4 linked regions of the Notamacropus eugenii genome follow. The protein of the gene in region 2 interacts with the protein of the main gene of each other region in a pairwise test. Links are inferred from orthologs where the notes say so. Each region holds a gene or a part of one and is shown on either strand. Other genes may lie near its edges. The genes, in order: PPM1A, HSPB1, FXR1 and PELO.

What was found.
Region 1: the proteins of HSPB1 (region 2) and PPM1A interact in a two-hybrid assay, tested with the Homo sapiens proteins (2 studies listed by BioGRID and IntAct). The link is inferred for Notamacropus eugenii from reciprocal best matches to the Homo sapiens genes HSPB1 and PPM1A.
Region 3: the proteins of HSPB1 (region 2) and FXR1 interact in a two-hybrid assay, tested with the Homo sapiens proteins (2 studies listed by BioGRID and IntAct). The link is inferred for Notamacropus eugenii from reciprocal best matches to the Homo sapiens genes HSPB1 and FXR1.
Region 4: the proteins of HSPB1 (region 2) and PELO interact in binary tests that used the Homo sapiens proteins (3 or more experiments, as listed by UniProt). The link is inferred for Notamacropus eugenii from reciprocal best matches to the Homo sapiens genes HSPB1 and PELO.

What each region holds. Positions count from the first base shown.
Region 1 is NC_092872.1:303,345,309-303,353,535, forward strand, and holds the start of PPM1A (protein phosphatase 1A), read left to right. Parts: upstream 1-5,042; 5' UTR 5,043-5,178; intron 5,179-5,797; exon of another isoform or gene 5,798-5,870; intron 5,871-8,227. UniProt on the Homo sapiens protein: Enzyme with a broad specificity. Negatively regulates TGF-beta signaling through dephosphorylating SMAD2 and SMAD3, resulting in their dissociation from SMAD4, nuclear export of the SMADs and termination of the TGF-beta-mediated signaling.
Region 2 is NC_092873.1:51,268,564-51,275,696, forward strand, and holds the start of HSPB1 (heat shock protein beta-1), read left to right. Parts: upstream 1-4,095; 5' UTR 4,096-4,587; coding exon 4,588-4,990; intron 4,991-5,334; exon of another isoform or gene 5,335-5,976; intron 5,977-6,168; coding exon 6,169-6,232; intron 6,233-7,133. UniProt on the Homo sapiens protein: Small heat shock protein which functions as a molecular chaperone probably maintaining denatured proteins in a folding-competent state. Plays a role in stress resistance and actin organization.
Region 3 is NC_092877.1:343,425,618-343,432,850, reverse strand, and holds the start of FXR1 (RNA-binding protein FXR1), read left to right. Parts: upstream 1-4,020; 5' UTR 4,021-4,204; coding exon 4,205-4,255; intron 4,256-7,233. UniProt on the Homo sapiens protein: mRNA-binding protein that acts as a regulator of mRNAs translation and/or stability, and which is required for various processes, such as neurogenesis, muscle development and spermatogenesis.
Region 4 is NC_092875.1:410,128,675-410,136,254, reverse strand, and holds the start of PELO (protein pelota homolog), read left to right. Parts: upstream 1-4,412; 5' UTR 4,413-4,742; coding exon 4,743-5,468; intron 5,469-5,956; coding exon 5,957-6,388; 3' UTR 6,389-7,580. UniProt on the Homo sapiens protein: Component of the Pelota-HBS1L complex, a complex that recognizes stalled ribosomes and triggers the No-Go Decay (NGD) pathway.

The sequences.
Region 1 (8,227 bases), on a different chromosome or scaffold from region 2:
ATTCTGAATTCGTATTGGTTGGATCAGACACAATTGGACACACTGAAGCTTGACTCTAACATAGTGATGTTATCTTGTTCCTCTTTGAGAATGAAGGACAACAACAAGCCAGCTTGACTGCTCAAAAGAGCAGGATAATGAATATTTTTGGTTCTTTGGTTTTTTTTTTTCGTTTGAGGTGGGGTAAGTTATAACACCTTCAGATAATTAGACGAATTTTTCAAATTATTTTATATAGACTCCGTCTCTTATGTTCAGAGTACTTATTGAATGATAGAAAGACTTCAGTTGAAACTGACCTAAGTCACATCAAAGTATCTTGAACAAAATGTTTATCTTAGATCTTTTAAAATTTTATTTTATTAACAAGAATCTATTTTCTCTTCCTTCTACTTCCTTCCATATTGGGGCAGGGCAAAATAAAATCCTTTAAATAAATATACATGATCAGGCAAAACAAATTCCCACTTTGGTCATAGCTCTTCTCCCCAAAAATGTCTCAATATGTGTCTGAGTCTATGAGGTCTCTGTCAGCAGTGGGTACTATGTTTCATCATGAGTCCTCTGAAATTGTGGTTGGTCATTGTATTGATCAGAGTTCTAAAGTATTATAAAGTTGTCTTGACAATGTTGTTGCTGCTATGGCATAAATTCTTCTCCTGGTTCTTCTCACTCTGTTTCAGTTCAAACAAGTCTTCTCAAGATTTTCTGAAGCCATCCCTTTCATCTTTTCTTAAAGTACAATAGTATTTCATTCCATTCATATATCATAATTTGTACAGCCATTCTCCCAACTGATAGGTACACCTTTAGTTTTCAGTTCTTTGCTACTGCATACTACAAAATATATCTACCTATCCAGAAATTACTTTGAAACTGCATTGTATATAATTTACTATGTACAAACATTTTCCCCTAATAGAATATAAGCTCCTTGGAGGCACTGACTGATAGAGTAAAAGTATCCTCTTCACCTTGCACAAAGTCTGGCATATGTAGATGTTTAATAAATGAATTTTGTTTTCAAAAGAGTAGCAAATAAAAGGTCAAATTTTGGAACTGAAGACCATTAAAGCAAAATTTCAGAGTCTTTTTACCTTTCATTAAAAGAAAACAAACAAACAACAGCTTCACCCCTTCTCCAGATTTTCCTAAAACAATGTAGAATAACTTCATTCCAGGGCTATGAAATCATAAATTAAATTTTGTCAAAAAATTCCTTGTTGAAGTACCACAAAATTAGATGAAAATGAACATTTAGTCTTGTGTATTTCTGCTAAGACAAGGATTTTAACCTGAGGTCCAAATGTTTTTTAAAAAACATTTTGATAATGTATTTCAATATAATTGGTTTTCTTTGTAATCTACATACTTAATTTCATGCAATTGAAAGCATTTTGTGCAATCCACATATTTTACCAGACTCTGCCAGAGAAGTCTATGATCAAAAAAAAAAAAAAAAAAAGGTGAGAACCTGTTTTAAACTTAAAAAAAAAACTAAATAGAGATTTAAAGAACTTTAAAAAAACAAAAAACAAAAAGGAATATTCACCCATAGGTATATTACTCAAAAAGCAATAAAAAATTTTCTAGTTCTTAATAAAGTATTATTTTAAAAGCTCATAAACTTCTTGATTTACACTAAAAAAATTTTTGAGAGCCACATCTAGATAAAGAGGATTTCAGCATATTTGCAGTTTATGGTAGACCAACTCAAACTTGGAGTTTTAAAATCTCATTCTGTTTTTTTTCTCATGCTAGGATTTCTTAGTTTTACTCCCCCTTTCCCTGGCTCCCACCAGTTATTGTAATTGTTCCAGATTCTCCTAGACTATAAAGGTATTGGATAAGAGTAGAGATTTCTTTGCATACTGCTATAATCCTTAGGATTACTCAGGAAGGGTTGTTCTGGCTTGTCCCATTGATGCAGTTACTCTTACCTGTCTACGCTAATCCTCTTCAGTCAAAATTTACCTAACATCACGGACATTTTGTTGCTCTTGCACTTGCCACATTTACACAGCTGTTAGTTACTTTTCTGGAAAATATGAGTGAAGAGGGGGATTGGGATAAGGTAAGAATTTTTTTGATAATGGAGCAAATAGTTAATTGAGTCTCAAGTTTTTTTTTTAGGGAAAGGGTAGATAAGTTTCTAGTTAGTACTCGTGGTCTTTGGTTGTGATGAATGATGTAATCTTTGAAATAGAAGATAAGACCAAAAGAGATATTTATGGGGGGAGGGAGAGAATTGTTGCAATAACTAATTACATAGATTTTGTTTAATGGACAAAAAAATGGAGTTTGGATTTTATGAGTGATTTCCCACAACGACATTTTTATTGCCAACTAGCTTCTGTGTCTTGTATGGTGCTCCTTCTAATCATGTATTCAAAATTTAACTTGGGGAGAAGCTCAAGAATCTTAAACTCAAATTTTTTTTTCTTGGCAGTATAAGGAGAAACAATTGGGAAGTGTATTCTTAGATGATGCTAGAGCAGGGAGATTAAGTGGCATTTTGTCTATTTTGCGTTTGGTATTTGAATTTGGACACTTACCTATTTCTATCACTCTAAGAAGTTCTACCCCCTAAACAGGCAGGATAGAGAAGGTACTGTGTTTATTAAAGATTCTGCCTGCAATTCACAATTGGATGATTTGGAGATTTTAGGAATTTCTTATTCTGAAAATAGAGGGAAAAGGACTGTAACCTTAGGAAACAATGTTGCCAAAAGCTTAAAAAGTAACTGATAGATGATGGATTGTTTTGGTGGAAGGCTAGAGTGCCTTCTAAAAACTAACAAAGTAGTTTTTATCTGTAACAGTGTAGCAGTGTACAAAAGTACTACAATTGGCAGTTAAGGCAAAATGAGGAATCACCACCAAGAGTGAAATCGTAATCCTATTTTTAATGTGTTTGGCTTCTAAAAATTAAAAATTATTTTCCAGGACATCCCCTATTTAAAATGTGTTGATTTTTTTGTGGTAAAACTTCTAAAAAAAATTCTACTCCTTAAAAAAAATTCCCATTTTGTTACCATATCTGTTACATATGTCATATTTATAGAAAGGTTAAGCTACTAGCAGAAAGGGGCAAGAAAAATTAGACATTGAAAGCATACTCTAGAGATGGACTGCTTTTGATTTTTTGATTCATTGGCTAATTCTCTTGTCATCCCATATATTGCTTTCTGAAAACATGGGTAGAGATTTATTTGCACGTGTTATTTCAGTTATTTAGTTCATCCTTAACAGAAGTAGCTGTTACATTTCTGTCCTTCCTGTCTTAAAAATCCTTACTAACCCTCAGTACTTTGAAGTCCTTTGTTATATAGACATGTGACTAACACTTACAAAGAGAATTTGGAATTTCACCAGCTCCAGAATGACATCTACTAGGAACTCATTTTTGCCTTGTGTGCACACACCCAGTTGTATGTGGGTGTCAAAGGATGTCGGTAGAGGCATGTGTATGTCTGTGTTTGGAACTTGTGAGGAAAACAATGGCTTAAGCAAAAAGAGAACTGTAGGAAGTTTGTTGTTTCAGTCCAGTCCGATTGTTTGTGAACCCATTTGGGGTTTTCTTGGCAAAGTAATTAGTCATTTTCTTCTCCAGCTCATTTTACAAATGAGGAAACTGAGGCAAACAGGATTAACTAACTTGCCCAGGTTCCCACACCTAGTAAGAGTCTGATGCTGTATTTGAACTAAGGTCTTCCTGACTCCAGGCCTGGAGTCCACTTATAAAGTTTAGAGGGGTATATGGATATATGAGAATTAATGTAGGTGGGACGGGAAGGAATGGACAAGGTGAGTATCTCTGTTTGACCAGAGGAGGGATTATTGAGGATCTACAGGGTCAAAAATGGGACTGGCAAAAATGCTGGAAGACCTGTAAAATCAGATATTTGTAATTTTAAATAGGGGAGTGGCCAAAAATTTAAGTTACTTCCAGGGTTGCTTGTTTGGATGGCTGGTTAAAAAGTATTTCGTGCCACACTGGTGTGGATATTTTACATTGTGTATTTATATTCAGAAAATCATTTGGAAGAAAAAGTGTTTAAGGAGATGAAACTAGGGGTATGCATAGGATGTGGGTACATAACATAAGGTTTATTTGGGTTTCAGGTCTAGCTTAAGAAGATGTGAAGGCCTAGTGTGGGCGGTTACAATTCATGTAGTCTTCATCAGAAACCAAGCTCTGCCTACCACCAGACTTCTGAAGGGCTATTTTGGGACCACATTCTACAGGGCTCAGAACAAAACGTGCACTTTCTCAACCACACCGAGATCAGGAGACGATGCTACTAGCCAGGATGTGTGCATGGGGCGTGGGGTGGTGGGGGAGGGCTGGGGGCGGAGTGTAAACCAAGGTGGAAGCTTCCATTCCCCCTTTCCTATACACACACAGAGACAGACACGCAGACTCACACACACACGAACTCTAGCCCCTAGCAGGCCGGCGACGGGGAGGAGGCAGCCAAGTAAAGATGGGGTAGAGGAATTATGTCATTCCTAACCTGCCCCTCCTCCACCTTACCCTGGCTGAAGTTCCAGCCCAACAACATCCGGGTCTTTCCAGCTGCTACAAGGCGCCGCAGCTGTGGAGGGGAGAGAGGAAGGGGAGGAGGGAAGAAGGAAGGGGGGGGGTAGGGAGAGGAGGAAGAGGGAGTGGGGCGTGAACGCGCGTGCGAGCGTGCGCGCTGGAGGAGGCGGAGGCGGCATCGACATTAGAAGCGGGAGCGCGCTTGGGAGCGAGACAACCGGGTCCCGGCGCTTCCTCGGCCCCGAGCTCGGGGACTCGGCGGCGGCTGGATCGCAGGACCGGGTGGCTGGGGCGGGGGTGGGGGGAGGGGGGGCGGAGAGACCGACACGGGGCCGGCGCGGCCCGCCAGCGATGAACTCGCCGTCAGCTCCCCTCCGGGACCCGCTCCGCGCCTCCGTCCCAGTGCCTGCGATGATCTGAGCGACGGCGAGGGCGCCACGAGCCGGGGGTCCCAGACACGTTCCACCTCCTCCCCCCTCCCCTTCCCTCCTCCCGGACGACCCGGCCCGGCCCGGCCCGCGACGTGCGGTGACCCCCCTCCCCTTTCCCCTTCCCCCCCTTCCCCTTGTCCCTCCCTAGCCGGGCCGCCGCCACCGCCTCGGACCGGGGACCCGCTTCTTCTTCTGCCGCTCTCGGTAAGCCCCGCGCCGGCGACGCAGGGCCCGAGAGGGGGAGGCCGCTCCGGGGGCTGCGCGGTGGAGACGGCGGCTCCTCCTGAAGGGGGGAGGGGGGGGAGGAGGAGGAGGAGGAGGCAGCGGCCTGGCCAGGCCCGGGGCCTGTAAACAAGCTGGGGCGGCTGCTCGGGCACTCCCGGGAACACCCAACAACCCCACCCCCTTACCCGGCCTCCCCCTCGGAGGAGACGAGCGGACCGAGGAGCTCGGGAGGCGCCCGCGGGGAGAAGCTCGCGGGTTAACGCTTCCTCCTGGGGCGGGCGGCGGGGGCTGGGCCGGGAGTGTTTGTGTCAGAGGAGGAGGAAGGGAAGGCGACCCTCCCCGGCCCCTCCCTCCCTCTCCCCCCCCTCCCCCTCTCGCTCCCTCCTCCCTGGCCTCTTCTCTCGGACCTCCCTGGTCTTTGGCCGGAAAACCTGGGCTTGTTAGGACCACTGGCTTTCTTAACTTCCCCCCCCCGCTAAAGGGAGAGGGAGTGGAAAGTACTGGGTTTTGAAATGGCTCTGATGTCCTAAACCCGCACCCCACCCCCAGCAACCTTGGGCTTGGTCCTCTTGTGCCCCGACTCATGGGGGTGGGGGGGATGGGGAGAGGTTTTGACTGCGATGATGATCAGAATCCAAATGTGGGAACAGTTCTTACACCGGGGGCAGGAAGTATGTATGGTTTTCCTCCAGGTGATTATTTGATTGGACCATATTTGCCTTGGAATTTGTTTTGGGGAGAATCCGTAGAGAACATTTAGGAGATGGAAAGGTGACTTCGGGGGGAAGTAGGTGAGTTAGGGGCTAGCTTTTAAATTTGAGTCTTTCTAGTGAGGTATCTAAATTTTGACGATCGTTTATTGCAAGGTAAACGGAAACCAAATCTATTAAAATAAATTGTATTGATTTTTCTCTTAGCCTTTAAACCGTGGGGGTGGGTAAAGAGAGCTTTATCAACTCAGAAATTTTTAAAGCTGAATGAAGGTTTAGAAATCATTTAGTCCAGCAGCCTTAATTAAGGAATTGAGGAAACTGATCTCGAGAATAGGTTCTTAAATGCTTGAGAAAAGTGTAACTCATCCAGCAATTTCTTACTTCGTACATAAGATCATGTGTTTCACTTTTTCAGGGAATGCATTCAAACACAAAACTGCATCCCTTCTATGATGAGGAATTAATTACAGAATCCTAATATCAAACTTTTTTTGTTTAGCTCATACATATGGAGCACATTTGTAAATCTTGTTAAGATTACCTCAGTTTATGCATTTCACCAATAGTCATAGAATTGTAGCACTTTTCAATAAAGGATTCTAAAGCATTAGAATCACATGATTAGCTATAATTTAACATTTTTCACTGTAATTTTGTGTATATAGTCTGAAGCTCAAAGAGGTTGAAAGTTGATAAGCCTAAACATATTTTGAGGGAGACAGAAGTTCTTTTGATTTGCCGTAATTGCTTTGTTGAAGGATTTTATATAAAGTATTTTCAGGATTATGCTCTCTATTGAATGTTATTTGAAGTACTTATCCTTCATACATACAACATATAAACTTTCAACATTGTGTTTCTTTGGTATTCTGAAACTGGTGTGTGACTTGTTCTCTGCAAAAGTATTTCTGTAGAGAACCTCTGCTGATTTTTTTTTCTTTGGGAAATCTAGGGATATTGCTATGAGAAACTCTTGGTAGGAGGATGGAGGTAACTAGAGAAAAATTAGCTGAAACTACAAGTCTGTACAAGCAGTTCACACTTGATAGTTGATATGAATGGCATTATAACCACATTTTAAAGGTTTTTCTGCCAGTTCTGGCTGGATCTTGCTTCTCTTGACTAGATTTGCATATTTACTAAATTTCCTGTAATTTATCATATACTTAAAATATGAAACAAGTCACAAAAATATATTCATTTGAAGCTTGAGCTCTTTGAATTGGTATTTTATTTTTCACCATGAAACTAGCCCCATCATTAAAAAAAATTCAGAGATATTGATCCATGAATAATCTGGCTCCAGACTACCATTTTAGTACACGTAGCTGAGTGATGGGTGGATGAGTGCTGGACCTGGAATCAAAAAGACCTGAGTTCATTTCTTTTAGACTGATCCCAGCTGTGTGACTCTGAGCATATCACTTAATTTCAGAATTCTTCAGTTTTTCATCTGTAAAATGGGGATAATAAATAGAACCTACTTCCTAGAGTTGTAAGAATAAAATGAGATGTTTGTAAAACCATTTGTAAGTGCCATACTTTGATACAGTTGATGTTGTTGTTGCTCTTAGTTGTTCAGTTGTATATGACTCTAGGCCCTATTTCCTTCTCCAGCTCATTTTACATTTGAAAAAAAATGAGACCAACAGGGTTATTGACTTGTCCAGGGTCACATTGCTAGTAAGTGTCTGAGGCCAGATTTGAACTCAGGAAGATAAGTCTTCTGGAATCCAGGCCTGGCACTCTGTCCACCTAGCTGCCCATTAATAGTAGAAATTTTATTATTATTTCCCTTTACCCATTCTGCAGCCCAGGGTTCATATCCTACTGACTATTTCTCACACAGCACCTTTTCTTCCATCTTTCCTTTGCACAGTGTGTCCTCTTGCCTGGAATACATCCTTCCCAATCCATCCCACCTATTTTTTCAACCCAGGTGGTCTCACTGCCTCCACTCCAAATTCTCTGGCATTTACTTTGTATGTGTTTTTTATTGCATCAGCTAAAAGCCATTTCTTAAGCTCTTACTGTGTTTCAGGGTCTAGGTTAAACCCTTGAAATGAAGAAGTGATATAAATGAAAAAGTTCTTACCCTCCCAGAGCACAAATTCAGTAGACAGACTGACACATTCACATAAGTATGTACAAATGGAGGACTTTACTTATCTGTATACTTGTTTGCCTCCTCCCCAATTTTCCAGAATGCAAACTCCTTAAGGGCATATACTCTTCTGGTTTTTTATATTCTCAGTAGATTTATAAATACTTGGTCATTGATTGATTAGCATCAGTTCAAGAAGAATTGTGTAAGA
Region 2 (7,133 bases):
AACTGAGGCCCAAAACAGGGGACTTATGTGCCCAGGTCACTCAGGGAAAGGGTCAGAAGTGGAATTGGAACCCAAGTCCTCCGTTTCCAAAAGCCTATGCTTGCTCTCCACTGCACCACACTGCCTCTACATAGTAGAATGTTTCAGCCCAATCAAGAGGTCTTAGAGATCATTTAGTCCAATCTCCTCAGTTTACATAAGGCAACTTGATGTTGGGAAAAATGTAATTGACTTCAAAGAGAGCTTTGAACTTAGAGTAGAGCTAGATACTGGGACCAAGAGAGAGCAAGTGACCTACTCAGGGTCCCACAGTATGGTTGTGGTATTAGTGACAAAGCTGGAACTCATGCATTAGTCTCCTGACTCCCAATTGAGGGCTCTCTCCTATAAAATATATTATAATCATCATGTGATAGAGACTGGCCCTGTAATTTCATTGGAGAGCTTCACCTGGGGAACTCCCAGGTGAAGAAAGTCTCTCCACCAATGCAGAACACCACCTTCTTTAAAATATATAGTCTTGGTTTCCTAGAGATTAAATAACTTGCTCAGGGTCACACAGCCAGGATGTGTTAGAGGGAAGATATGAATCCAGATCTTCCTGGTCCCTAGGCCAGCTCTCTACCCAATCCTCCAAACTGCTAATAATTGATAATAATAGTAATAGTAGACACTGTTAACATTGATTCTTTATGAACTCTTGAGTCTCACAGCAACCCTAGGTAAGCAGTGCTACTAGTATCCCATTTTTGAGTTGAAGAAACTGAGGCTCAGATAGGCTGTTTACTACTGTGTAACCTTAGGAAAGTCGTGTAACCCTCCTGAGTCTATTCCAAACATGCCCAGCACCTTCTCTGCCCAGAACACTTTTCATCTTAGAGCAGCCCAGTCTCTAAAAGGAGATAAGGATGTGAAAAGGACTCAGAAGGATGAAGCAGGGCAGGGAGATACATCAGGAGGTTTAAGATGAGAGACCAAGCCCTGGGCTAGGTGGGGAATGGGGACCACCAAGTTCTGCCATGGGAGTTGTTTGCTGCCTGCTCAGTCCTTGTATTCTTGTCTTGAGTGCTACCCTCCCACCCCCAGGGCCTGATAGAGTAGGAAAAGCAAATCTAGGCTTATAGGATCAGAGAATTTAGAGCTGGGAAGTCATCACATCAGTCAGATCAGCTTAGAGTTTAACCTAGTCTAAACTGTTCATTGCACTGGTGAGGGGAAGTGATTTACCCAGGAGCATACAGTTAGTAAATGACAGAGCTGAAATACCTACCCACTTCTCCCTCCTGGTCCAACACCCTTGCTGCTGCTACCGGAGCTTTCTTCCCAATTCTGTCATTGTCACAGTGTGACCTTGGGCAAGTTCCTTTCTTCCTCTTGACCTCAGTTTCTTCCTCTGTAAAATGAGAGGTTGGAGCAGATGACTCTAAGCTGGTTGGACTGATGACTTCATGGTATATGGACAGACTGTTCCATGGCAGGCAGATACAAAGGGTAGCTGGCCTTGGAGATTCATGTCCCTCCAAGTTCACTCCTCAGAGTTGAGCATGACCCCAGTGCTTGTTCCCTATGGCTTTACTTCCTCAAGGTTCTAGTTCTGAGCTGATCCCCTTGGCTGCCTGAGATATCCTTCCTCTTTTTAGTCATAGTTTTCTCTTTAATGGCCCTTCTCCCTTTCTCTAAATGTCCTTTTTACTCTCTCCCTCTTGGGCTGCAGCCCACGTCTAGAACCTGGCTACACTTTGTGTCTTATTCTTGATGGCAGAGAGCAGTGAGTACTGACCAAGGAGAATTCTCAAGGAAGAACTCACCTACTATAACCAGGGATTTAGGAAGTGATTGGAACAAATCTGTCTTTGGTTAAGATATCACTGATTCAAGGAGGTTGTGGGGAGAGGGCGTGAGTATGCAGGGATGGGACGGATGGGAGAAAGGAGAGACAGATTCAGGGATACAGACTCTTGTTTTAAATCCCAGTTTCACCACTGACAGCTGTGTGACCTTCCCCTGGTTTCCAGACCTTTCTAAGGGTGGGGACAGTTCTAAAGTACAAGGGGAGGGGATGATGAAAGGAGATTTAACCTGTCAAGTTGTTTGGAGCCCACACCCACAGAACACAGCTGGCATTTGTCAAGAGTTATAAAAGACTTTGAGATTCTAACTCCTCAAAGCTTCCTCCTCCCAATGAGGAGAGACTCCCAGACCCCACCCAAGGACTAGGTGAACAGGGAAGATTGACATTCCTTGTGGTTTCTGATCTCACCTATTTTTCAGAAAACATGGTTGGGTGGGGCTTGGGAGGACCAAGAGTCAAGCTGCATAGAAGCAGATCAGAATTCCTCAGCCCTCCATCCCTACTATTTCCCATCCCTAGAGGATTGGGGAAAAGAGAAAGCAGGAGAAGAGGAGGTTGCCCAATGGAAACATGAAGGCATCCACAAACATATTCATCCATTGTTTAAAGATTCCAGGGCTCACCTCTTCTACCCCTTCAACTTAACCGGGTCTGATGCTGAGCCCAGCCCTGCCCCTGGCTGGAGTAACCTGTTGGTGGGAGGAGAGAGTCAGTGGGAACAATTCAGATAGAAGAATCCTGCTTGGATTATTTTGTTCTATCTCTTTGGATTAGCCTTGTTTTCCTAAATTGGAAACTGTGGGGCAGCGGGGAGATGAGGGCAGGGTGAGCTGTGTATATTTTCAACTCTTCGGCTCTCTTTCTTCCAGATTGCTCAAAGCACTTTATAGGTGTGATCTCACCAGCCTTGACCCAGCCCCCTTGGGAACGGACCTGGTGTGGGTTTCAATCATCTGTCTCATCTCTGAGCTTGGAGCCTTTTACGGGCTTGAGCTCACTCATTCTATTTCTCCAGTTCTCCTTGACCTAGGGGTGGGATGGGGGTGGGGAGACACTGATGAGTAATAGAAACAAAGATTTAGATCTCACATAGAGCTTAGAGGTCACCAGATCATAGAATCGTAACTAGCTGGAGGGGACTTCTGAGGTCATTTAGTTCAAACCCCTCATTTTAGATATGAGGAAACTGAGACCCCAAAGAGTTAGGGGGTGGGGCAGACTGGAGCCCTTCACAGCAGCTTAGCTTAAGTAATGAAAGTGACTTCAGAGGCTGTCTGTCTGTTTTACAAATGAGGAAACTGAGGTCTGAGGCGGTGAATGACTTGCCCAGGGTTACACAGGTATTGTTTCAGAGGTGAGATCTGAACATCAGGTTTTAAAGAGTTCTTTCTATAGTGTCCACAGAGGACAAATTAAGGTTTTGAAAGACAGAAGACTTTGTGCTACCCAGCCTGGAAGATGAAGAGGGTGATGTATCCTCAGTGTCTCTTTGATAGAGTCCCAGTCCCTGCCCCACCTCTTCAAGCTATTTTATACTGGGATGTTTGCTATGCTTCACAAATAACTGCCCCAAGAATAGATCTTGGGGGTCCCCAGTTTCCCAACCTCCCTGTGAAGTGGGAGATCAACGTGTGTGTGCCTGTTGTTGGGAATTAGGGTTATATCACAGAGACAGCCCTAGCTAAGAGCTAACTCAAGCCTGGGCAAAGGACCCCCCTGGCGTGGGGGCTAAGGACAGGAGATGGACAGGGTCAGGACATGAGTGCAGAGGAGAGACAGGAGAGGAAATACCCTTGCAGAGAAAGGGAGGGGGAGGGGAGAATAGAAAAAAGCATTTGAGACCTAAAGCTGAGATTTTTCAAGATATTGTACCAATAAGACAGTCCTATGTCTTTCTCACTCCCCACCCCCAGCCCCTAGCTGTAGGGTCAGCTTTGTACTGCCCTCCTCCCCAAGTATCCTCTTGTCAGGGTGAATGCTTAGAGTTAGGAGTAACATGGTTCTGCTTTTGAAAATGTACAATAGATGACCTTAGGGGAGTAGCTGACTCCTAGAGTTTCAGCTTCCTCATCAGCAAAATGGGAGCAAGGGCTTTAAGGGCTCTTCCAGCTCTAAACTTCATGAACCTACAAGTTTGCTGGTTCAAGGCCCTGTTCTGTGTGTCCTTGGCAAAGTTGCAACCCTTTCTGGGCAATGGGGAGAGGCATCTCTTTGAGGGGGTGTCATAGATAGGGAGAGGGGCAATCCAGTCACACCTTGTTCCCTGGGACACCCAGCTAAAGTCGTACTCTCTGTACCCTGGGCAGTCTTGGCCCAAGTACATAAGAAAGGGGGGATGATGAAGGAGATTCTCTTCTCCACCCCCCATCCCCCTCGTCCCTCAGTCTCTCACCACCTTCCCCTCTTTCTTCCTTCATTTTCCAGAAAGATGAGTGAAGGTTCGAGGTCTGGGGCAGGGCTTGGGCTTGTTCTCCCTCCCTCTTTTCCTTTTCTCTCTCCCTCCCCAAGGAATCTAAGGGGGTGGACGTTGTCCTAGCCCGGCCCCCCTGCTCCCGCCCCCCCAGGCTTTCTGCCCCAGTGTAATTACCATTAATAGAGTCTTGAGACAGTCTTCTAAAAATAACTGGCTCTGGCTCTTTATAACCGGGGCCAGCCCAGCCTAGACACTCAGTCCCAGAGCTCCAGGGGAGAGTTGTAGGTCCTGAGCATTACCCACCCAACACTAAGAATTCAGCATGACTGAGAGACGAGTTCCCTTCACCTTTCTGCGAAACCCCAGCTGGGACCCCTTCAGGGATTGGTACCCAGCCGGCAGCCGCCTCTTCGACCAGTCCTTTGGACTGCCCCGCCTTCCAGAAGACTGGTATCAATGGCCCAGCCACACCAGTTGGCCAGGCTATGTCCGGCTGCTGCCCAGCCCTGTGGCCGAGCAGGTTCCCGCTGCTGCTGCTGCTGGGCCCCTGGCACCCCCACCCGCTGCCGGCCAGGCCTTTAGCAGAGCACTCAGCAGGCAGCTGAGCCGAGGGATGTCAGAGATCCAGCAGACAGCTGACCGTTGGCGAGTAACCCTGGATGTCAACCACTTTGCCCCTGAGGAGCTGACTGTGAAGACCAAGGATGGCGTGGTAGAAATCACTGGTGAGTAGACATCCCAGCCCCTTGTCCCATTTCTCCATATTGCCCCTGAACTTTATTGTCTACCCAGGGCAGCCCAGTTTGGGGGGGCAGGGGTAGGGGAATGTTAGTCCTGGCTATGGGCCAAGGGGAAGGGAGAGTTGGGGGGCAGAACAGGCATTCCTCCTGGGCCTTCAGAGGGAGAACATTGAACATGCTATCAGCTCCTGGCTGTCTTGGGATAGGGCAGGGCATGAGGGGCTGGATACCCCAGACCCTGGGCCAGGGGTTCTCATCCTGGGGCAGGAGGTGATGGGTTAATCAGAGGGCCTTAGTCAGAGGCTCCTCCTAGCATCCTTCCCTCATACCTTCATCCTGAAGAAAGTTGGCACACGCTGTTCTCTCTCCCAGCCTGGACTTGCAGAGAGAAAACATGTTTATTGCTGCTGCACATGAGGGAGGAAGGAACCTAGATGGGACTTGGCTCAGAAACCTTTCCCCCCAAATACCAGACCCAAACTCCACCCCTAGGCCCCCTACAGGGCTGAGCCCCATTCCTTTGGCAGATTGTCATTCTTTCCACGTTAAACATTAGTAGAAAAGTGCCTACTGTGTCCCAGACACCGTACTGAGAACTGGAGATACAAGGGAAGGTGAAACCCCACTTTGCCTCTGTGCTCAGCCATCTTCCTACCTTTGGAACCTTCTGATCCTGTCTGTCCAGAGCCATGGAGCCATTTAAGCTCCCATGCCCAACTCCCACCTCTCAGCCTTAGAGGCTGGGGCTGCTTCCAGCCCTTTACTGAGGACTTCAGAGAAAGCTTCATGCCCCTCTTCAAAAAGCTCCCTGGCACTTGGATGGCCACACCTACCTCTACCACTTCAGGACAGTGCACTAAATGTGGAGGTTTCCCATATCCCCTCTCCCACAAGAACTCACTCAAGAGAAGGGAAATCACAAAGGATTATGGAAAACCACTGCATCTTCAGTCAGAGGTTCAGAGTTCAAAAGTCTGGCTCTGCCATTTACTGTGTAATCTTGGAAAGAGTCATTTCCTTTCCCTGGGCTTCTATTTCCTCTTCTATTAAATAATGGTCTCTAATGGAATTCTGAGAGAACAGCTGGGGGGAGGGTGGATGGTATTAATGTGTGTCTCCCAGAGGCCCCCAGTCTTCATTTGTTTCTCTCCCATCTCCCCCAGGCAAACATGAGGAAAGACAAGATGAGCATGGATTCATCTCCAGATGTTTTACTAGGAAATACACGTGAGTATTGGGAGAGGGGGCTGGCCCTTGGAGAGAGGTCTCCAATTCTCAGTCATAGCCCCTTGTATTCCCTCCATGCCTACTTACCCCTCCTGTATCCACCCCCCCACCCCCCCACCTCACCCCCCACACAGACCCACTCCAGACAGACGGCAGGATCTGGTAGCAATTGTCTGGGTCTGAAGTCTCAGTGTGTGCCCAGTCCTTTGTTCTCCTGTACAAGCAGAAGGAAGTTTGCTTCTTGACCCAAGAATAGAAGGAAAGCCTGGTGGTGAACTTGGAGGTCAGAAAGACCTGAATTCAAATCTCACTTTTGCCACTTGTTAGCTAGATGACCCCCCCAAAATTATTTGACTTGAACCTTTGTTTCATGAACTTTAAGAAGAGGTGAGTGGGCTAGAATCCCTGAAAAGTCCCTTTTAGCTGTAAAACTATGATCTGTATGAGTATAAATGGATCCCTATGACAGGAATGGAGGTTTATTGCTAGAGATGGGCACACAGATGTCAAGATTGAGGGCTTATTGTTGGTGACTAGAGCAGTTCAGTGCTAGGGCTAAGGGCTCAGGGGCAACAACCACGCCCCTCCCCCCCAAAAAGCTCCATATATTAAGAGTCTAGAGAGGCAGCGTGTCCTACCTGACAGAGAGCAAACCTTGAAGCCAGAAAGAACCCCTCCTCCAACACATGCTGGCTATGTGACCCTGGGTAAATCACTTAATTTCTCAATGTATTAGGTAACTCTAAAACTTTAAGGTTCAGAGAAGGGGTCAGCCTAAATTATTAGGTGTTTCTTTACCCAGAAGTTCCTATATCAAGGAAATCCCAAATCCAGTCTCTAACCCTCTAAATGTCTATGATATACAAAACACTCAGTCAGGACTAGAGGAGATATAAAGTTG
Region 3 (7,233 bases), on a different chromosome or scaffold from region 2:
AATGTCTCCTGACATTCTTACTTCCCTGAAGGGACCGTCAGAATTAAATGGGAAAAAGTCTCAAAAATATAAACGGAAACATGAAGGTAAGAACTCATTATTATCACAACTTTAATACCTCTTAATAGAAAAAATCTTCTCCTTGGGGGTAAAGACAGTTCAGATTTTTTGGTGTGTTTTTTTTCTGGAGGATTTTTGGTCTGGATGTAAGCAATCATTTATTAAATGAAAGTCACTTAAGAGGAAAGGCACTGGAGTTAGATCCTAGAGAAAAAAAAGAAATAAAAAGTCTCCAACCTCAAGTTGCTTATATTTTACTGAGGCTGTAACAATGATGTTTTATCTGCATTATGGGACAGTTAGGTGGTGTAGCAGATAGAGTATCAAACCTGGAGTGAAAAAGACCTGAGTTCAAATGTGGACTCAGACACTTACTAGCTATGCGACCATGGGCAAGTCACTTAACCTCTATTTGCATGAGTTCCTCATATGTAACATGGGTACCCAATAGAGAAGAAAAAGGCAACCCACTCCATTATCTTTGCCAAGAAGACTCACGTAGAGTTGGACAGGACACAACAACCGTCATTATATTATAAATATGTATGTGTGTGTGTGCGTGTGTGCGTGTATAGAATCTTTCTTATATATCTCATATATAATCTTCTAGATAAATCTTTCAAATTTATAATCATCTCCTTTTAATCCTTAAAATCACCCAAGGAGGAGACACTGGGAGTTGGCATCATCCCCATCTTATACCTTTGAAAATTCTGGCACAGAAAGGTTAAGGAATTCGTATTGGGTCATATAGCTAAATTAGTAACTGATATACGAATTTGAACAGAAATTCAACCGTTGACAGAAGCATTTATGTTGGATAAGGCGCTCCTCCTCAGTTTGGCTATTAATCCTCATCCTGATAAGTCTAAGAGGTAAAATGAACCTCAGAGGCTCTGTCCAACCTTCACATTTTGTTGGTGACAAAAAAGAACCCAGGAAGGTTATGTGATTTCCTTGAGGTTTCAAGGCTCATAAATGACAGGGGAGACATTTGGGAAACTTACATCAGATTTAGGGAATGTAGAGCCAGACCCTTAATCTGAGGGACTGGAGGACTCTCTGGAAAATAAAGGGCTTGTTCTAGAACTAGAAAAATAAATAAAACCAGCATTTCCACCCTCACTCCCACCCCCTTTAAGTAGTCATGGCATTATTCATCATAGAAGTCTAAAGGAGTAGCTGTTTCCAAAGCTGTTAGACAATATTGTCCGATCTCAATTCAACTGACTTCACTCATTAGTCCCAATGTTATTTTCTTTAATATCTGTGAGTACGTTCCAGCTAATTTTCTGGTATGGTAACAAACTGATAGGTTGTGATAAAAATAAAAGATGTCCAAACAGCCCATTGGAAAAACAGTTGAGACATCCTTCCTTATGCCTGCTGCTGAGTCATTTATAAAATCCAGATCTGTCACTATCCTGTGGGAGAGAATTCTTGGCTGAAAAAGATAGGATTAGAAGGAGTATAGGTACATGGGAATACCAGTTTGAAAGGACATGGGGCTTAGAATCATAGACTTTAGATAAGATATGGGTGGATCTTCAAGGTCTTCTAATATCTAGAATGGAAAGGACTTTGGCTTTGAATCAATTTAGATTCACAAGTCTGTCTCTGACACTTGAAAGCTGTGCTCCTCCGGGGCAAGAGCCTCTCTGAGACTATTTTCCCTTCTGTAAAATGGGATAATAGTACTTCCCTCACCAGGCTCATTAAATGCTTGGGCTCCATTGTTACAGAACGACTTACTCAACACTTATTTGAATCTCAGCCTTGCCTCTACCTAGCTCTGTCTTTGGCCAGATAAGGGATGCCTTATATATGAGATGAATACTTATTCACTGAGAGAATCTCTTATTCAATATTAATAGTAACATATCTGAGAGATTTCTTTACATGCTGATTTAAAAGAAAAAAATGACAAAACATTTAATCATCTCACTTATTAAAACAAGAACAACATAATCTTCAATAGGAAAACAGACATGAAACAAAATCCTTATGTCAGTTTTAGGTCATTCTAAATTGTGATAGCCTGACTCAGAAGGTTTAATTTCCAAAATGAGCCCCAGTTACTTTTATTAATCCACTCAGTTCACATTTTTTGAATTTTGCTTTGTTCTAGATGAAGGTTTTTCCACCACCTTGACCTCAAGTTTTCCTTCCTTAAGATTTATGTTTATTACCTTATCTGTTTATCCATTAAGATTCAAGTTAATCCATGTGTCCTGGGCCCAAGGAGAAACTTTTGGAATGGAAATTGCAGAGGTGACGGAAATGATCCTTTTCCTTTGCCCAGAGTAAAAAGGAGAGATGGAAACATAGATTTTTCCTCCCTTGATCTCGTCTAAGTCTGGAGTGGGGAACCTGTGACTTCTAAGTCCTTGGGTGCTGTCTTTTGACCAAGTCCAAGTTTTATAGAACAAATCCTTTTATTCAGCGGATTTGGTCTTTGAAGTTTGGATTCAACGGGCCACAGTTGAGCACCTAGAAGGTTGAAGGTTGGATTCAAAGGGTCACAGTTGAGCACCTAGAAGGTTGAAGTTTGGATTCAAAGGGCCCCAGTTGAGCACCTAGAAGGTTGAAGTTTGGATTCAAAGGGCCACAGTTGAGGACCTAGAAGGTTCTGTAAAACTTGGACTCTGTGGAAAGGCTACACCCAAGGACTTACCAGGCCACGTGTGGCTTTGAGGCCACAGGTTCCCCATCCTTGATCTAAGTAGGTATCTCTAAAGCAACAAACTCCCTTTGAGGTAAGGTTCTACCATTTTAGAACAAAACCATTTTTGTGCCTCATGCTTCAGCTACACAGCGTCTGGGACGGAGAAGGCCATTGAATGCAAGCTGATTGTGCAGATGGGAGGCGATGTTTTCTACCAGTTAGGTCAAGGGAATGCCATCAACCCCCAATGCCATCACCAAGGTGGAGATCCTCTGACTGCCCTGGGTGCCCTTGAAACAGCTCCAGTGCCAACAGGCGTGGGAAGGGGGTTGAGGTCTGTGGTTTGAGGGGACTTCTGCTAGGAACCGAATCCACGTCGCCTCCCAGCGTTCCTAGGCACCCCTCAAAGCCCGAAAGTTGGGGAGCCGGGAATGCTTGGCATCAGCAAACGGCATCCCGGTTCTGCAAGGCCCAGCACGCAGTAGGTTCTTCTTCGTAGGCAGATAAAGCTGTTAGGAGCCCGTTGGAAGAGTCTGCGTCCTCCAGCCCTAACACAGGAGGAGGGAGAGGGTCCCCCGGGACGCTGGGGGGTGCCCACGCCTCTCCAGCAAACACAAATGGCCCCGGGGGCACCCAGGAAGGGCTCCTTGGGGCCGGCCGGGACGGGGGTCTCGCCCAGGAGGAGGTGCCCTGCGCTCCTCGTTCGGACGCCGAAGGGCCCTTCTCGGAGCAGGGTTGGGGTACTGGAGCAGTTTTACAGAGGAAGCCAGTTGGGGAGAAATATTCTGAAGACAGCCGCCCGGTGTTCTCAGACCGACAGCGCCTTCCACGAGGACAGACCCCGGGCTGGTGAGCGGGGTCGGGCCCAACCTGGTCCTCCGAGCTCCGCGCCCACGGGGCCTCTCCGCCGCAGGGGCCGGACGGTGGGGGGGGGCCGGCGATTCGAACCCCCGGGGGAGGGGTCACGTTCTCGGCCAAGTCGGGGTGGGGGAGCTGGCCAAAGAATGACCGGGGCGGGGCTGAGTGGCGGGAGGGGAGGGCGGCGAAGCGACGGCCGCGGTGGCGGCGGGGGGCGGGGCGGAACAGGGGGCGCCCCTCCCTTCTCCCCTCCCCCACCCGCCCCGGGCTGGCCCCGCCCCCAGGCTCCCGCGGCGCCGCCCGGCTGGCCCGCTAGCAGGCTCGCAGGCTGCCGCGGGCGGGCGGAGGCAGCCGGCGGGTCACGCTGCGGACGCGGCGTGCTGAGGCCCGGCGGGCGGAGGGATCCGGCTGGGCGGCGGGCGGGCGGGCGCGTCCGGGGTGGGCGGCGGCGCGGCGGCGCAGCGGCGCGGCGAGACCCCGGGGTGCGGGGCGGGGGATCCCCAGTCCCCGCCCTGTTTTCCCCCCCGCCCCTCACCCCACCTCCTCCACGCCCCTCCCCCCTCCTCCCCTCTGGTTGGAAAGTTTCTAGAACCCCTTCCCGGCGGCCCTTGCGGTTCCAACATGGCGGAGCTGACGGTGGAGGTTCGCGGCTCCAACGGGGCTTTCTACAAGGTAGCCGGGCCGGGGCTGGGACCGAGGCCGGGATTGGGCGGGGAAGGGGGCGGCGGCTGTGGGGGAGGGTGGACGCGAGGCCGGGGCCGGAGCCGGGGCCGAAGTCGGAAGGGGCGGCCCCGGGGGTGGGCGGCCCAGGCTTGGGGCGCGGGCGGGCCGGCGGGCGGCACGGCCCGGGCCCTGCCTCCTGGCGCCGCCGGCGGCCGCGGTTTAACGGTCTCGGACCCCGGCTCCGTTAGGCTCTGAAGCCGCCGGGGACCGGCCCGGGGCTTCCGGGCGCCGCGCTGCGCCTGGCCGGGGTGGGGCGGGCCCAGGCTATCCGGGGATTGTGCGTTCATAGGCCCGCCGAGGGGGCGGGGAGGCCCGGCGGCGGCGCCCGCGGCCCGGTGACCTTGGGCCAGCCTCTTGGGCTCCGCGCGGGGCCTCGCTCTACCGCTCCGGGAAGTGGGGGCGTAGGCCACGGAACCCGCCCGGAGGCGCTTTCCTGTGCCTGGAGATCTCCGGAATGTCTCCCGGGGGTGGGGGGGCGGTGGCCCTTATTTCCAGCGTTGTGTTGCTTAGAGCATCCTGGGCCCCGTTTGTGGGGTGGGGGCGTTTAATCGGGGGTGTAAAGAAAGGCGAGGAGGTGTGGGCAGCCGGGGAAACACGGACAGGCCTGGCAGGGCAAGAATCCCCCCCAAGAAAAACCCTACCCCCCCACACTTCCCCTTCTCCATCTTTTTCTCTCCCCCCTCCCCGCCTTGTTTTATACTGCCGCCCTGCCCCCATGTAGGCCGGGATGTTATAAGATCGATACGAACCCCCCCTAGCTCTTCCCCTCCCCCCAGCTGTCGCCCGTCCGTCATCCGGTCTAAGCCTGGGCTCAGATGTTTCAGAGTCCGGGCTATTTTGGTGGAGGCCGCGGCCGTGCGGCTCGGCCCGAGCGGGGGCCCGCTGGGCGTCCCCTCTGCTGGGGGGGCCCTGGGTGAGGGCAGAGCCTGCAGGACTCGGGCCCCGGATCCGCGGCCTTTCGGGGCTGGCGTTTTCGTCCCCAGAATAGAGGGGGCTGCGGGCGGGCGGCGGGCCGGAGCCCCGACCCGGGGGGCCCTCCATCTGGCCTTTGTGTCTTGGAAAGCTTTGTACCCGGCGAACGGACGGGTCCGGCTGGGGTCCCCTGGATGAGGGAGGTGGCTGAGGAAGGCGAGGCTCGGGATCCTTTCTCTGGGCCTGGTGACCCGGGCGGGGAGGTAGTGTTTACAAAGTAGGAGTTAATTCTCTTAAAAGGTGGGCAGGGCCGAGCTTGTAATGGAAGGGTCACGACTTTCCTTCTCTAAAGTCAAAACTTCGGTGGCTAGAGTTTTTGGAACTGCTGTTCTGTTTAAATGAAATACTTAAGTATTTTAGCCCTGAAAGTTCAGTGTTTTCAAAGTGCATCTAGGAAGTGTAGTTAGTTACTCTTATTTTCTATAGGAAACGATAGTGTGCATTTTTTTCAGACATTTAGCTGCGTCTTGGACCACCACGTGGGCAGTGGAGAAGGGGACTACGTACATTTCGTTTAGCCTAAGTACATTTCATTAATTTGTGGTGGCAGCTAGAAGGAAAAATGCCGTGTCTGAATTTGCTCCTAACAGTTATTTCCCCAAGGTGATTTTACAGGTTGTTTTTATGGCTATTAATTTGCAGGTAGGGAATATCATTTTTGGAAGCCTCTGTAAAATATTTTAGGAGAGATGAAACTTTTTTTTATACATTCACAAAATTGGCTAAAAAATGAAAAGGACTAAAGATGAATTATGAAACATGAGGAGAAGAGGAAGAAGAAAATACAGATGAAAACTCTTTGTCCGTAGTCTCAAATTTATTTTCCAGACTGTAACCCTTTAAAAAAAAATAATTGTGGAACGCACTAGGACAAATGTGATTAGAGCATTCAAGGTTCAGCTATCTGAAGTAGAAAGAGTACTGGACTTGAAATCCCAACTCCAATTCTTCTGTAATCAGAGCTTGGTTCATTGACCTCATTTTATTTCGTTTTACTTGTCTGTAAAATGGGAATGATAATACACAACACTACCTACCTAACTAGGTTGTAGTAAGGAGGGGGAGGGGTTTTAAAAGTTCCAGGGTAAGTGTAAGGGGGTTAATTTAACCCTGAGTATTACTGACTATTTTTTTATATCTGGGAAAACTCTAGAAAATAACCTTAGTGCTTAACACTGATAATTTTAAAAATTCTTAAAGCACCCTTTTATTAGCTTTGAGGGTTTTTAATATTTAACCATTGCCAAAGGATACACTTTGCTTAGGGAGATATTGAAAGTTAGGTCATACTATACTTGTGCTTATGTAGGGAAAAGTTTCCATGGTGTCCTAGGTTTCTAAGGAAAATAATGCCAGGTTGGAAACATGAAATTTGAAACCCTCTTTGTTAATCAACTCCATTTATATATATTGGTAATATATAATATATATAGACTTGGGATTTTAGCTATAATTTGTCACTGAGATCAGAAATCCAGAATACATGATTAGTTGGTAAAATTAGCTTTAAAATATAGCATAATTTACTGTTCAGAAAATTTAAAGAATTGAAATAGCTCTGTTGTGTGTTATGATAGCCTAGATAACTGGTGTGGTAAAGACTATGTATTTTTGTTTTAAGTTTTGTTTGTATTCATCACTTTTAGTATATTTGCCATCAAAAATTAGGCGTAATGGAGGAAGGTGTAGTTATTAATACATGCTGTGTATCCACCTTAATGATTTTGCTAAACCACTGAAGCAGCATTAAACTTAGGTTCTCTAGTCATGTCATTTATAAATTTTTGCATTATGTTTTATAGTGGAGAGAACACTTTGTTCATAACTGTCCAAGAAATAGGCAATAAATATATGAAGAAAGTCAGTATTTAACCTAAGTCTTCCACACTGTGCTTTTCCCACTACGTAGTGCCCCACTTGAATATACTATTAAATTCTAAGAAATTAAAGTCTAA
Region 4 (7,580 bases), on a different chromosome or scaffold from region 2:
GAGCAGTGGGTAGAAACAGTAAAACTGGGAGGACAATGAATTTGGATGTGTTGTGTATGGGTTGCCTATCAAGAATCAGCTTGATGTTTGTTGTGGCAATACAGCTATCTCCCTAACCATTAACTCACTGTAATACTGAGACCTGTGGGATGGGATGAGGGGACATGGAAGAACCATGTGACTGCATTTCGTGTTGTATTACCTTGGGATTGAGTCAGGGAAAAAGAGTTCTTTTAGGAAGGGGGTGGAGACGGAGTAGATATGGAACGCATAAAGACTCCCTTGTTCAAAAATGTGTCTATCCTTTTGTTATGGGGGACTGGCATGTGCAAAGTATTGGGGACTGTATCTCCTCAAATGGGAGGGCTAGGGAGGCTGACTGTGGGAAAGTCACAGTGACATGTAATAGAAATGCCTCAAAGAGATCTTGGCATTGATTTAGACATTCTATAACTGGTTCGGCTAAATTTCTCTATCAGTGAAAAGAATATTATACAAATGTTCCAGGCTTGAGACCTGGGTTACAGCTAGTTGGTTGTTGTTCAGTCATGTCTGACTCTCGTGACCCCATTTGGGGTTTTCTTGACAAGGCTACTGGAGTAATTTGCCATTTTCCTTCTTCAGCTCATTTTACAGATGAGGAATTGAGGTCAGCATTATTAAGTGACTTGCCCAGGGTCACACAGCTAGGAAGTGTCTGAGGCCAAATTTACACTCAGGAAGATGAGTCTTTTTGACTCCAGGCCCAGCACTCTATCCACTATGCCACCCCGCTGCTCTGGGTTACAACATATTTACCAATTAGAAACTTTTTGGGGGAGAGGGGCAGGGAGAGAAATCAAATCAAAGCTAGAAAATATTGTTTCACACCTTAGAAGGAATTACTTCAATCAGACATCAAGACTAACACCTGGACCAGATTTCTTAACCTTTTTTTTGAGTCATGAACCCTTCTGACAACCTGGTAAAACCTATGAACCTCTCCTCAGAATAATGTTTTTAAACTCATTAAATAAAACATATAGGATTAGAAAGGAAACCAATTATACATGTACCACAGGCAGCCCTGACCCCTACCACCTGAAGGCCAAGGGTGTTAGATTTTACCATTTCACCCCTTTCTTAGGGTTCTCTGGTATCCTTAAGAGGACTGAGGGGTGTGTGCCATTGGCTCCAGCTCCAACTAATGGTATTCCCCCATATATAGGGGGTGTGATTCCCTGCATCCTAGTTCCTATTAGCCAGTAACAGCCATAGTAGCTTTTACACAGAAATCTTTACTTCAAAAGGTAGAATCACAAACATACAAATTTACTCCCCCATCATGTGGGAGGCATAATCCTCATCCTCTTTGGACCACCCCAGTGCCTGGAGAGGGGAAAGGAATTAGATTCATAGTTTAGCTCAGTTCCAAGACCAAAATCCCTCTGGGGCTGGAGTCCCCATGTACCCTGGCTTCTCTGGCCTTCCAAGCCAGGCTGGCTGGATGCACCACCCTGTCTGCAATCCTGGCCTCAATTTTGCCAGGGTTCAAACTCCTGGGGGAGGGGGATCATTTATGCAGCTAAGAACAAACAACATAGAACAAAAACACGCGCTCCCAGGTCCATTTCTCAGGGCGGACAGTCCTTTCCCTCTCACCAGTTCAGTTACAGGCATCCCCACCATGGGTAAACTGGGTAGATGTATAGTAGCAGAAAGAGATCAACCTGCTCAGTCTCACCGATTTTAAAGATGCAGGTAGCCAGTCAAAGGATACTAAACCCACTCTTGTGGTAGGGGAACCACTGGGCTCCATAGGCAAACTGGGAATGCTCAAAAGGCCCCTCAAGTAGACCTCTATGTTAGACAAACTGGGCATGACCCAACACACTCAGGTTATAGACAAATATAATTATCAAAATGTTTTTGTAAAAACAAATTTATAGACTCGAGGTTAAGAACCTCTTAATTTAGATGAATGTTGCTGGGCATTTACAGCAAGACTTTTGAATGCGAAAAGGTACAGAACAAGAAGCATTCTTGGTGAGATAAGGGAATTTGGATGGCCAAAGTCACTGTTGCTAACCTTAACTCAGAGACTACTGTACAATAAGCAATCTTCTAATGAAACCAGGTAGTATGAGCAGTTGATCTGGATCTTGGTTGAAAACTTTTTGCCTGACTTATCCAATTGTTCCCCCATTTTTTTTTCTTGATTTTGGCCAGTAACGTTTGGCCCCACAGTACTGTGAAGAGAACTGTTTCCAAATCCAGCATTTTACACAGGCTACTGATCTGCAGAAAGTGCAGATTGGTAGTTTTGGATTCTGCAATTCCCAGGACACTGGGTCAAGTAACTCCAAGGCTTTCTAAATGGTAAATTCCACAAATGCTTTCTGCCTCTGGAATCAGTGCTTTTTAACTATTAGTTAAAACTAGGTCATGTGAGGACAGTTGGAAAGATCAGAAAGTCAATCTAGTTGGTTAGGCATGCAAAGCTGTAATGCCATTTATTTTGGAAACCTGACACACAAATCCCACATGTATACCCAGCTCAAAGTGGCAATCTGTTGAGTATGCACATGGGAGCTGAGGGAAATGGTGGGCTGCAGTGATCTGTCAGGATTAATGTCACCCACCCTCCTGAAAGCGATGACGTTTGTAGATGGTCCTTAAGAGCTCTGGATGTGGAGCCAAAGGGTCTCACTTTGAATCCTTCCATTTATTCCCTCTTAGACCTTGGGCAAGTCACTTAACCTCACTGGACCCAATTCCTCATTTCTAAAAAGAAGAAAGAAAGAGAGAAAGGATGAACTCTGTAGTTCAGTTACAGGCATCCCCACCATGGGTAAACTGGGTAAGATGTATAGTAAAAGAAAGAGATCAACCTGCTCAGTCTCACCAATTTTAAAGATGCAGGTAGACAATCAAAGGATACTAAACCTACCCTTGTGGTAAGGGAACCACTGGGCTCCATAGGCAAACCGGGCATGCTCAAAAGACCCCTCAAGTAGACCTCTATGTTAGACAAACTGGGCATGACCCAACACACTCAGGTTATAGACAAATATAATTATCAAAATATTTTTGTAAAAACAAATATATAGACTCCAGCTTAAGAACCCCTGAATTTAGATGAATGACTAAAATCATTGACCCTTTAAACCAGAGATTGCTTTTCTTTTTTGTGTATATCATGGATTATGCTGCTAAAAATTAGCACCCAGCTATCTGATACAATAATATCCACAATAAACTTTAAAGCTTAACCTGCATTATTAGCATTTTAACATCAGTTAATTTAACACTGACATTTTAATATTCCATCACTCTTCAGTCTAGGCAATCAACCAAACAATAAATCATGCCCTGAATTGTAGTTTGCCAATTTGAGGTGTAAATGCTCACTCTGAAAATTTAACAGTGTACTAACTGCTTCCAGCAAGCCCATGCATGCACCCCCTTTGCAGTCTGGTGGAGTCTGGGGACTCTTCTCAGAATGTTTTTAAATGCGTAAAAATAGAAGTCATAGGACTACAAAGGAAATCAATCATTAATCAGCAAACATTTATTGAGCACCTACTGTGTGCCAGGTGCTGTGCTAACTGCTGGGGATACACAATAGTAACTAACATTGAACGTAGCACATAGTAAGCACTAGGCATGACACTAAGAGATTTACAATTGTCATCTCCTTTGATCCGCACAACAGTCCTGGAGGTGTGGGGGGGTGTATGTATGCACATGCATACGTGCGTATGTATACATATGCGCACATGTTTTACATAAAATATTATATATTTTCCACTTACAGATGAGAAAACTGAAGGAGAGGTTGTTAGGTGACTGGGCTGGGCTGGCACAGCTAGTAGATGTCTCAGGCCACATTTGAACTCGGGGATCTTCCAGGTCCCAAGCTCTATCCACCTCCCCAACTGACTTAAAAAAAAATTACACTGAACTACAGGTATACAAAGATTTTCAGACATATTCACAGATCCCTTTCTGTCTTTGATCCAATAGACTATTAGCCCTCGGTGTTCAGGGCTTGTTTCAGTTTTATGTGTTCTCTTCGGGGCTGGGTACACAGAAGCGTTTAATAAATGCGTGCTGAATGTTGAATGAATGACGCCCTCCCAGTTCCAAGGCTTGGGGCTCCATGAGAGCCGTAGTAGCAGGGCTGCGCGCAGAGGCTTCCGAGACGTCCCGGTGCCCCTCCTGACCACGCCGGCCACGCCCCTCCAGGCCACGCCCTCTCGGCCACGCCCCCTCCCGGCCACGCCCCTCCCGAGGAGCCCAGGCAGCGGCGGCGCCGCGGGACCAGTGCTAGCGGACCCGTTCACTCTTCTCTCAGACACAGCCAGCTCCGGCGAGCGGAGGCTTAGTGCTCAGTGAGCCTGCGCACGCCGCATGCGCCGTCCACCGCTTCCGTAGCTTTACGTACGCCAGTAGAGACGTGGCTGGGGAGGCGGTCTCTTGCGCAGGCGCACTAAACAGCCCCCGTTGAGTCCGCGCTGCCGGCCGGTCTGAGAAGGGGGCGGCGGGGCTAAGAGGCTCCGGGTCTTGACCGCGGCGCCCTCCCACCTGGGCGGCGGGGTCCTGAGCGCCGCGTGCGGGAGAAGGAAGGTTCTCTGGGGCGCTCTTCTCCTCCTTCCGCGAGGCGAATACCCGCCCGGCGGGGCGGCGGCCGCCAGAGCCAGGCCGGAGGCGGCAGGGCCCGGCCCCTTCCCCCCTCCCTCCGGCCGCCCCCCGCCGCCAGCATGAAGCTGGTGAGGAAGGATATCGAGAAGGACAACGCGGGCCAGGTGACCCTGGTGCCCGAGGAGCCCGAGGACATGTGGCACACGTACAACCTGTTGCAGGTGGGCGACAGCCTGCGCGCCTCCACCATCCGCAAGGTGCAGACCGAGTCCTCCACGGGCAGCGTGGGCAGCAACCGCGTGCGCACCACGCTCACCCTGTGCGTGGAGACCATCGACTTCGACTCGCAGGCGTGCCAGCTGCGGGTCAAGGGCACCAACATCCAGGAGAACGAGTACGTCAAGATGGGCGCCTACCACACCATCGAGCTGGAGCCCAACCGCCAGTTCACGCTGGCCAAGAAGCAGTGGGACAGCGTGGTGCTGGAGCGCATCGAGCAGGCCTGCGACCCGGCGTGGAGCGCCGACGTGGCCGCCGTGGTCATGCAGGAGGGCCTGGCCCACGTCTGCCTCGTCACGCCCAGCATGACCCTCACCCGCGCCAAGGTGGAGGTGAACATCCCCCGCAAGCGCCGGGGCAACTGCTCGCAGCACGACCGCGCCCTGGAGCGCTTCTACGAGCAGGTGGTGCAGGCCATCCAGCGCCACGTCCACTTCGACGTGGTCAAGTGCGTCCTGGTGGCCAGCCCCGGCTTCGTGCGGGAGCAGTTCTGCGACTACATGTTCCAGCAGGCCGTGAAGACGGACAACAAGCTGCTGCTGGAAAACCGCTCCAAATTCCTTCAGGTACAGTAACCCGCCTAGCTGAAGGGCTGACCCAGATTAGAGCTTAGGGGTTGGCATCAATGTTAATACGTTGTGTAGGAGGGAGGACGTTTAGAGGGATAGGGAAATGACCTTTTTCTTAATCATGTCCAGTCATCCTAAAATGTAAGCCTGGCACTAAGAGAAAATGAATGTCCCATTTTTTCCACATTCATGTTTTCTTACCCTTTTAGGGGAAAAATGATTTAGGTATGCTTAACAATAGGCAGTTTGATGCTAAGAGACTTAAATGATCAACCTGTGTTATGAAGTCCTTATGAAGCATCTCTACATAAGTAAATATACATAACTTTAATGTGTAAAATACATAAGTTTAATGCCTTGCATGTTTTGACATTTTGGTTAGGGTTGATGTGTTTAACGTTAATTGAACAAGTATGAGTTAACTTTTAAAAGGAAGAATATGTGCTCTAAAATATTTCATCCAACCTCTGTAATTGTGATTCCAGGTACATGCCTCTTCTGGGCACAAATACTCGTTGAAAGAGGCCCTTTGTGATCCTACTGTGGCCAGCCGCCTCTCAGACACCAAGGCTGCTGGTGAAGTCAAAGCCTTAGATGACTTCTACAAGATGTTGCAACATGAACCTGACCGAGCTTTCTACGGACTTAAGCAGGTGGAGAAGGCCAATGAGGCCTTGGCAATTGACACACTGCTCATCAGTGACGAGCTCTTCAGACACCAGGATGTAGCCACCCGAAGCAGATATGTGAAATTGGTGGACAGCGTCAGAGAGAATGCAGGCACAGTTCGGATATTTTCTAGTCTTCATGTATCTGGGGAGCAGCTCAGCCAGTTGACTGGAGTTGCTGCCATTCTACGCTTCCCTGTCCCTGATCTCTCTGACCAGGAGTCTGGTTCAAGTTCTGAAGAGGATTGATGATGGGCACCTCTAAAAAGACACTATGTACCACCCAACTCCTTCACCTACATAAACTAATATGTAAAACAAATATTCTCAAATCTAGTACGAAAGCTGCTAGGGAGGTTCAGTTTCATTTACGTGAGTGGGTTTTTCTTGTCAGGCTAGTCTCTTTGTATTGGAAGACCAATACAACTAGAAAATAAATTAAGATAAAAGTAATGTCTAATTTTATCCTTATTCACATTGACAATTACTTTTAGGAAAAAAATGGTTTAGAAATACTAATAATATGCAATTGATACTTAGGATAAAAGTTTTTACATCAGCTGCATTCACTGTGTACTGTACTGGGGTTAAGCTACTGTTTCTATCTCTTCTTCATATTTTCAGAGTGCATTGCAGGAATTTTACTTAGTCCTCACAAATAACTAAACTGACAGTGTTTTTTGGAAGATGGATAGAAAATTCACCAAAGAAAACCTAAAAACTGACACTATTGTTTAAGGAAATTACAGGAATTGAATGAAATCATTTCTAACATGCCAAGAAGCCATTGTGCTTTATCCTTAAAAGTTAACTTTATGCTATTTGGTGCACTACTTAACCTACTATTCATAGAGTTTTAGAGCAGGAAGGAACCTTTGTAAATGTAACACTTTTATTTTAGAAATGATAAACTCAGGTCCAGAGAAGTTAAAGTGACTTTCTTGAGGCCAAGCAGGTAATTATTAGCAAAGATCATAGTGGAATCCAATTTTGACTTCATGTGCAGTGGTCTTTCTTTTTACTTATTTTGATTTGTCAAATTTATTAATAGTTGTAGTATTAGAATTTCAAGTTGACTAACTGGAAGCTTTAAAGCAGTATTTTCTAGATTCTAAACAGTTTTCATTTAGTCATGCAATTGCATCATGATTGAATAGAGCCTGTATGTGGAAAAATAATAAGATATGTTTGACTTTTTTATAATTGAAAAGGGTTGCTAGGTAATTCTCTAGTTCACTAAAATGTCAGTGAATGATCTATCCCTGTTTGAAGTGGTAGATTATATTTTGTTTATGGTCTGTGGGTATCAAGTGGAAAGTTTTAGACATTCATTAACTCCTGATCAGTCCAAAATGATATGATTTATTTCTTGTTCTGACAGTTGACATATGTAAATGAAATCTACTGATAACACGATCAATTTTAGTATTTTTCAGGGGCC